2 linked regions of the Sus scrofa genome follow. The protein of the gene in region 2 purifies or fractionates together with the protein of the main gene of each other region. This does not show direct contact. Links are inferred from orthologs where the notes say so. Each region holds a gene or a part of one and is shown on either strand. Other genes may lie near its edges. The genes, in order: FAM98A and RACGAP1.

The links.
Region 1: the proteins of RACGAP1 (region 2) and FAM98A purify together in Homo sapiens (co-immunoprecipitation; 3 studies listed by BioGRID and IntAct, with this or other methods). This does not show direct contact. The link is inferred for Sus scrofa from reciprocal best matches to the Homo sapiens genes RACGAP1 and FAM98A.

Annotation. Positions count from the first base shown.
Region 1 is NC_010445.4:106,059,906-106,064,377, reverse strand, and holds the start of FAM98A (protein FAM98A), read right to left. Parts: upstream 2,812-4,472; 5' UTR 2,707-2,811; coding exon 2,654-2,706; intron 1-2,653. UniProt on the Homo sapiens protein: Positively stimulates PRMT1-induced protein arginine methylation. Involved in skeletal homeostasis. Positively regulates lysosome peripheral distribution and ruffled border formation in osteoclasts.
Region 2 is NC_010447.5:15,925,203-15,929,019, forward strand, and holds part of RACGAP1 (rac GTPase-activating protein 1), read left to right. Parts: intron 1-676; coding exon 677-730; intron 731-1,433; coding exon 1,434-1,514; intron 1,515-1,899; coding exon 1,900-2,017; intron 2,018-2,325; coding exon 2,326-2,456; intron 2,457-3,099; coding exon 3,100-3,264; intron 3,265-3,817.

The sequences.
Region 1 (4,472 bases), on a different chromosome or scaffold from region 2:
AGAAAAACAAGCTAATTCCTTCAAAATATGGGACTATTGAATAGAATCATATGTACTACTAAATTACGTCAACCTCTGTACATTTACTGAGAGCCCTTATTGTACAAAGGTTTACTTTCTTACTTTAACTGAATTAGCACTAAAATTAGATTTCTAAGTGATAACAAATTATACTATAGTTTACTATCTCAGAAATAAAACTTGGGTTATCTTTTCTAGAGGTTTTACCAGAAATTAATTTGATTAGGTTTTTAATGACTGTCTTTAAAAGCAAAAACTTCCCAATTATTCATTTGTTTTCCTTTTTCTATATTTAATGACATTAAGATGAGTAAGATATACTAGTAAATTAATATCAAGATTAATTTACTAACTGCTGGTGAGCTGATGTTTAGGTGAACTGGTGCAAATGAATCCTAATTCTTTGCAAGTGAATCAAAGGTCATTTTAAAAAATTATTAAACATTCAAACACTCAAAAGACAATAGTAACAATGAACCCCAATCTAGAATATGGCTAGAATTAAAGATTCTGCCATTCTCAAAGTAATTTTAAAACACATATTCATCTTTTATGAATGAAATCTTGATAAAAACGCTAATCATGATACATTCAATATACTTAAGATAACTTGATATTTAGAGGTATAGAGATGTTAGAGAAATGTAACATTCAACCCTCTTAAAATATAATTATATGTTTATATTTTTAATGGGACAGAAGAAATCTTACGCAAAAAGTGAGATTCTATATAGTCTGGCATCTAGATTCAAAACCACATATTGCTAGAAACTGGAATAAACAAACTAGGCCTACAAATGTCTCACTGTGTTACATACTTAAATTTTATTGATTTATCCCACAAGTAATTACTGAATTCTTACTGTGTACCAGGTGAGAAATAAATGGTCATTTATTTCTAATATTTCCCAGTAAATCCTTGAAAAGCACACATCAATCAATTAAGACTAATTTTTGATGGCTGAATGCCACCAAACTAACACGTTACGGGTTAAAATTTATAGTCAAGTTTTCAGAAAATCCCACGGTTTATCTTACAACCCATCCCAATTATTTATTTAATTAGTGTTATTACAGTTACAATGACTGTTCCAGTACCCAAGAGAAGAAAAACACAATTAACAAAGGGTAAGAGAACAATCATAGGAAGAAGTGGCATCCATCATCAGTTGTTGCAGATGGACTTCATTTAAGTAGGGTTTACCTTCATCCTCTCATGCTACTTCTCCTTCAACACTAAGTGTCACTTCTAGGAAGCTTAGGACTTGTTTCCTTTCCCAGTTTTCTTTCTTCCTGGCTCTCCTCAGTTCTCAAGGCATATTCTCACAGTGTGAACTTTTCTTCCACCTCACTTTGTACCCTTAAGTGTTCAGACCAACATTGCCAACAGACCCAAAGTGTTTACTGAATACTTCATGTGTGAAATTTAACAATTTAGTCTAAGAGGTTCACCAAAAAGACACCACTTTGCTGATTGTGACTTTTACTTAGGTTCTCATCAAAGAAATAAGCTGCCTAAAGTCTGACTTTATTCATGAAAATTCAGAGCAAGCTCCAAAGAAAAGAGCAATGGTAATTCATATTGACAGAAAAAGATAAGCACAACCACTGCCTTTCCTAAAAATGGGCAGACTTTGGGAACCCTTGTTCTTTTAATACTAAAGTAAGCTTTCCCCCAAAGGCTTCCATGGCATGGAAAAACCTAGAGGAAGGTTTTGATAAGAGACTTGTTACTTTTATAGTTTTCTAAATCCGTATTTTTTTTTTTTAAGCTGTACTGTGGGCAAATATTTAATTATACAATTTGTTTCTGGACAGCATTTAGCCCAAGAAATTCTAAGTTCTCAAGTTTTAAGAGAGTACACTGATCTGGGTGACCCAGTGAGATAAGCAGCCTTATTTCCAGCTTCCAGATACTGATGAATTATGGCTGGGTTAACTGTCAGGGGGAGACAAAAATGCACAACAAATACGCTGGGACTTGGTGGGTGAGGATGCCCCTAAGACTAAGAGCTAATGGCGGCTCAGTGAAGGTGTGTCAGAGTCAAGGGAAACAGCGAGTGGTTCCCATGAAGGTGGTGACAGGTTAGGTGTATAAGTGAGCTGGCTGGCAGAACGGATGCAGCGCAGACATGTGCCTTAGGGAAGCCTGGGTGCATGCAGACATGACTGGGCAAAGGAGATTTTCTGAGCGAAGTGGGGTGGGGTAGGAGCAGGGGCTCAAGACAGAAGCAGGAAGTTTGGAGGACAAGTAGGAAAACAGAGAATCAACTTTGGCAACCTCCAGAGTGAGGGGGTAGGGCAGAAGGATGGGGAGCACGGAGAGAAGCTGGGGAGGGGGGTGGCGTGAACCAGAGCCCAGACAATGACACGCATGACTGACAAACGCTGCGGGAAACTTGGCTGCACCGAGCACAGGGCAGGCCTAGGGGCGTCGCAGCCGGAGGGCCCCGACCCAGCAGAGCAGGCAGTGGACGTGGCATTGGGGTCCTGGAGGTATAGGGAGGCGACAGCCAGGAGCCACGGGGTGAGGCGTGGAGAGGCAGGTGTCGCTGACTGAGGTGGAGAAGGAGTTTTCGGGCCGGTGGGCGACAGTGTGGGGTTTGGGAGACCCGTGCCCTGGCAGTCTTACCCTAGATCTTCCAACGACTCCAAGATGTCAGACTCCAAGAGGTCACACTCCATGCTACTGTGGTATTCAAATTTCCGAGTCGTCAGGCTCCCCTCTTCGCCGGCAACGCGTACACTCGCGCATGCGCTGCTTCCCCGGAACTTCCAAATCGACAGCTGGCGCCTCAGTCCATGCACTGCGCATGTCCGGAGCGTGCGTAAGAAACTTGGTCCCGCCTGCCGGCCCGCCCCGGCCGCCTGAAAGATGGTCAGGCGACACTACACGCACATGCGTATTACTGAATAGTGAAGCCGACGGCCCCAAGAAGGGCAGGAGGACTGGCTGCGTGGCAGCTGGGCGTGGGGACCTGGCGAGGGCCGGGGGCGCTCTAATTTTTCCTAATTGGGTGTGCGCATGTGCGAAGCTTGGGGCGAGGCGGGCGGGGAAGGATCCTCGGGCGGGGGAGGGTGGGGGTCCATAGAGTTGGGTGGGCGTTTGCTGTGAAACTGACTGTCTGGATCCCAGTCGCCTGAGTGGGTGACCAGCCTTACCTGTGGGCCGTAGAGAGGGAGAAGTTCGTTCGCTCTAATTCCTTAGAACAGGGCTAGAGACGGGACAAGTGCCGAGAATGGCAGATAACATGCCGTCGGAGTTCCTGGTGGCTGCAGTAGCTGTATTTCGGAGTTAAGGAGTAAACTTTCCCTTGACACGGATGTATTCAGAAAGTTGATTCATTCCGTTCCTTTGCCGTTCTCTACCAGACTTCTTAAGCCCTTCCCAGACACTAAGAATCTTTATTTTAAAGGGGTGGGGGAGGGAGGTAAGAGGGGGGCCTTCGCTGTGTGTCAATATCAAATAGGATGGAATATATTTAAACCCACGCAGTTTAAAGGGTAAATAAACTTTTTGTTGTACCGTTATCGATTTGGCATTTTTTGGCATGGTGTGACACTCGCATCACGATGGGCTGTGGTTTCTTGGCAGTTACTGGTTGGGTATGTACTTAGAATTTATTGAAAAAAATGAGAAAAATTGTTTTCGAAGTGATGGCATATTTAGAAAATTACATTTAACTATAAATGGGCATAATTGTGCACTGTGTAGGCATTAAAGAGTTTTCACACTGCTATCAGTAAATTTTATTTTGTAGTTCTCAAATATTTTGGTATCTAATGGATAAATGCTCCTTATTCTTCATAGTACCTTTAAAATTCCTTATTTTGCACCATCTGGAATGAGGGAAGGAATTAACATTTATTATGTATCTACTGTGTGTTTGAATTGTATTATTTCCTTGATCGGTGTTATTTTATGCAATCATCATAAGGCTGTGTAAGTATTACTCCCATTTTGCAGGTGAGGACACTAAGGCTTAGTTGGCTTGTCTATCAAAAATGGTAAGACCTGGCTTTTGAAACTGAGATATCTCTAAATTCATATTTATTCTTATTTGACTAGTCAAATAAGGATTTATAAGCAGGATGTGAAAAAATAGGAAGATGTAGCTAGTTGGATAAACAAATCATGTATGCTTGTATATCCTGTATATAAATACCTTAAAATAAAAACAATAGTTATTCTTATAGGGTTATTGAAGGTGCTAAACAAAAAGTAATTGTGCAAAATCAAGTTGGGAAAAAAGTTTTCATTCTTGACTCACTTTTCAAGGTAAGTTCTAACACATACTATTAGTGAGTGAACAAGTAAAAACTCCCCTAAATTTATTATTATTCTCTATCTAATGCAAATAGTTACATTAAATGGAGGGCAGCCAATGCAAAGTATTTAAAAAAATATTTAAAATAATTCTATAATGGATTTTACTGAAATAAAAACAATG
Region 2 (3,817 bases):
AATTGGAGAGGTTAAATTTATTTAGCTAAGGTATATAAAACTGTTTCTGGATTTTGTTTTTTTCAGGGATTATCAGGAGTGAGGCAGTCATAGGTCGCTACTAAAAATGAATGCAAATGGTTAAAATGAGTGAGGTGAAACTAGACCGCAGTGAAAGACAAATAATTCTTCAGTGGCCATGTTAATGCCTTTTTTAGGGCCCAAGGAAGAGAGATGATTGAGAGACATAAAACCTAAACTAGAACTTTTAAAGTGGCCGTATTGTACAGAACATCTAATTAGATGAGAGCAATCCCTCAAGAGCAAGGATTACATCTAACACCGTCAGTATAGTGTCTAACATTCTGTAAGTTCTAAAACTAATTACCAACATAATCAGAAATAAAGGACCAGGCACTGGAGATAATCACGACAGAAGTTGATTCTTTAACCTTTTCTTGCCTCTGTGGTATTGATTCCTGATTCTATTATAATAGCTTCAATTTTGGAAAGAAAGCATGTTAACTTACTATTGCTCTCTAGCCTCAACATTTGAGACCCTCCCATCCCGCTCCCTGAATTGTGAGTTAGGTACTCTGACTCAAGAGGCCTTTAAAATTCTTTGTAAATTTATTTGCACAGGGTTTTGGGGAGGCCTAACCAAAGAAAGAAATTAATACAGTGTAATTGTCAACAGGATTGGGATTCTTCTTTGGTAAAGAGTTTTAAACTGAAGAAGAGAGAAAAGAGGGTATGTATGGTTTTGTTTAGTTTGGGGGTAGTGGTGGTTTTTTTGTTTGTTTGTTTGAACAAAGTGGCAGTAAAAGAGTTTTCCCCCCAAATGGTGCCTTTGGCATCGTATTGTATTCCTGGCATGTCGCTCTAGCTATTGTTAAACATGTTAGAAATGAAACCATGTTTCCGGGTGATATAGATGTTCCTTGAAGGAGTAACTCAGGGTAGAATCCTGTCCTGTTTCACTGCTCTGGGCTGCTTTCAGTTCATTCATTGAGAGGAAAAAGATATATTTAAGTTTGTTTTAAGTTGTCACATGAATTTTTATGCAAGACTTTTGTGTTCTAATATAAGTTTCCTATAAAATGTGTGTAATGGGATATATAGAGATCTATCTGTGTGTGCTTATTTAGGGGACTCAGTATGTTTCTTCAGGCTTCATGTTCTTAGATGGGATTACAGTCTCCTTTTTCTAGTGCTGTCATCTAAATTTTTCCAAAGCTTGCTTGCTTCTTCTGGAGGCACTGAGGGCATTTTTGTGTTGGTACAACTTAAGCTGTACATGGAAATAGACAATGAGAGAGAGCACATTGTTTGTTATTTACTGTAGCTTTGGTAACTAGGACTTGCATCCAAGTTGTCTAATGGAATAGTTTTGTCTTTCATGCTTCAGATCTTCTATTTGGCACTAAAATTCTTGGTTTTTACTCCATCTCTAGCGCTCTAGTAGCCGACAGTTCATTGATGGTCCCCCTGGACCTGTAAAGAAAACTCGTTCCATTGGCTCCACAGTAGACCAGGTAAGACTAGTGAGGCCAAGAAAATTGTGGTCTCGAATATGTCAAAGATTAGTGGCCTCAAGCACTAAAAATCCCAAGTCAGTATTGCAGTGTTACTTAGAGAGAGACGTTCAGTGAAAGTTTTTCTGTCTCGTAGAATCCGTATTATCCAATTTGAACAGAATAGTTAACAACTGTCCACTTTATGTTTGGTTCTTAGTTGCTTGTATGTGTACCCCTGTGACCTATATTTCTGTTTGAAAGTATGAGATTTCAACTTAAGAGTGTTTGGACCTGGGGACTTAAGGTCCTGGCTGAAACTCAGGAATTTTTCAGCTGTTCCCAAACACTGTTTAGTGGAGGGGAAGTTAGATTCATTCTTCCCTCATTATTACCTTTGTTTCAGGGAAATGAATCCATAGTTGCAAAAACTACAGTGACTGTTCCCAATGATGGCGGGCCCATCGAAGCTGTGTCCACTATTGAGACCGTGCCATATTGGACCAGGAGCCGGAGGAAAACAGGTCCGCTGGGTTTATGACTGAATTGTCTGTGTAAAACAACTAGTAAAACCTGGGGAGAATTGGTTTCTTAGACCCCTCATGAGGCAGAGTTGGATGTTTTGGGTAGTTTCTTACTGCTGCTTACTGAGGGCCAGAGCACTGTTGTGTCATGCTCTGCCTTGAGCTTGCTCGCCTGGCCTAGCCATTATAGTCACTTCTGGTTGTTGTTACAGATTACTGGTGATCTACCGGTTACATTAAAATTGGGGTTAGAATTCAGAAGGAACAAAGTACTTAGGACCCAAAGTTTGGAGTTGCCTGTTTTCTAGGTACTTTACAGCCTTGGAACAGTGACTCCACCTTGAGCAGCAGGCAGCCAGAGCCAAAAACTGAGACAGACGGCTCCAGCACTCCGCAAGGCAACGGAGGGATGCGCCTGCATGATTTCGTCTCCAAGACGGTAAATTGGGGATTGCTGCTACTCTTGGGCACATCTAGTTTTTTAATTGTAGAAGTGATAGTTACCAGTAACAAGTTTAAGTACGTTAGTGTTACAAACCGAGTGCGGGTTTTCCTTCCTCCTTCCAATCCCTCTCTCTCCAGGGGTAACTACTGGTTACGGGGGTTGTGTATCTTTCCACTCTGTGAGTAATATCAAATTAAAAGAAAGCAACTTTTCAGAAGCAGTTGTTTGTGCTTTTTTAGTGATAAGTATTTACATTTAATGCTTGACTACAGCATGTTTTTACTTTGTCCCCTTTGATTTCCTCATAAAAACCCAAGCAAACTGACTGAGGCTCAGAGGAGTTAACTGACTCGTTTGAGCCACAGGACAGTAAGTGGCAAAGTCAACATAGGGGTTTTCTGACTCCTTGTCAACAGATTCTTTCTGCTGCTATATAGTGATCCCTTCCAGCTGGATGCCCTTATGTAAATTACTTAGCCTCTTTTTGCCTCTATTTACTTAGCTTAAAGAAAACAAAGTATTTTATTAGGATCATTGTGAGAGTTGCACAAATAAATATGTGGAAAGGGATTAGAAGGTTGTTTGGCACATGTAGGTTGATGATTCTAATTCATACCACTCCCTGTTTCATCCTCAGGTTATTAAACCCGAATCTTGTGTTCCATGTGGAAAGCGAATAAAATTTGGCAAGCTGTCTCTGAAGTGTCGAGACTGTCGTGTGGTCTCTCACCCAGAATGTCGGGACCGCTGTCCCCTTCCCTGCATTCCTACCTTGGTAGGGACACCTGTCAAGATCGGAGAGGTATGATCTGTGGGAGCCATCCTTGTGTTATGGCTTCTTTAGCTTTTCAAAATTTAGGTCATTTTATTCTAAAGCTAGTGATGCCAACAAATAGTGAATAGAAGTTAGAAAACGATGGGACTTCTCTCATAGCTCAGTGGGTTAAGAATTCAGCATTGTCACTGCGTGGCCCTGGTTACCGCTGTGGCACAGGTTTCATCCCTGGCCTAGTGACTTCTGATGATACGGGCATGGCCAAGAAAAAAAAAGAAATTTTGTTTATTATTTTTATTTATTTATTTACTTTTTTAGAGCCGAACCCACAGCATATGGAGGTTCCCAGGCTAGGGGTCTAATTGGAGCTGTAGCCACTGGCCTATACCACAGCAACAACAACACCAAATCCTTAACCCACTGAGTGAGGCCAGGGATCAAACCCGCAACCTCATGGTTCCTAGTTGGATTCGTTTCCACTGCACCATGTGGGAACTCTTGTTAAGCAATCTTTTAAAATTAAATTCCTCTTTCTTTCTTCCTCCCTCCTCCTTTCTCTCTCCCTCCTTTTCCTTCTTTT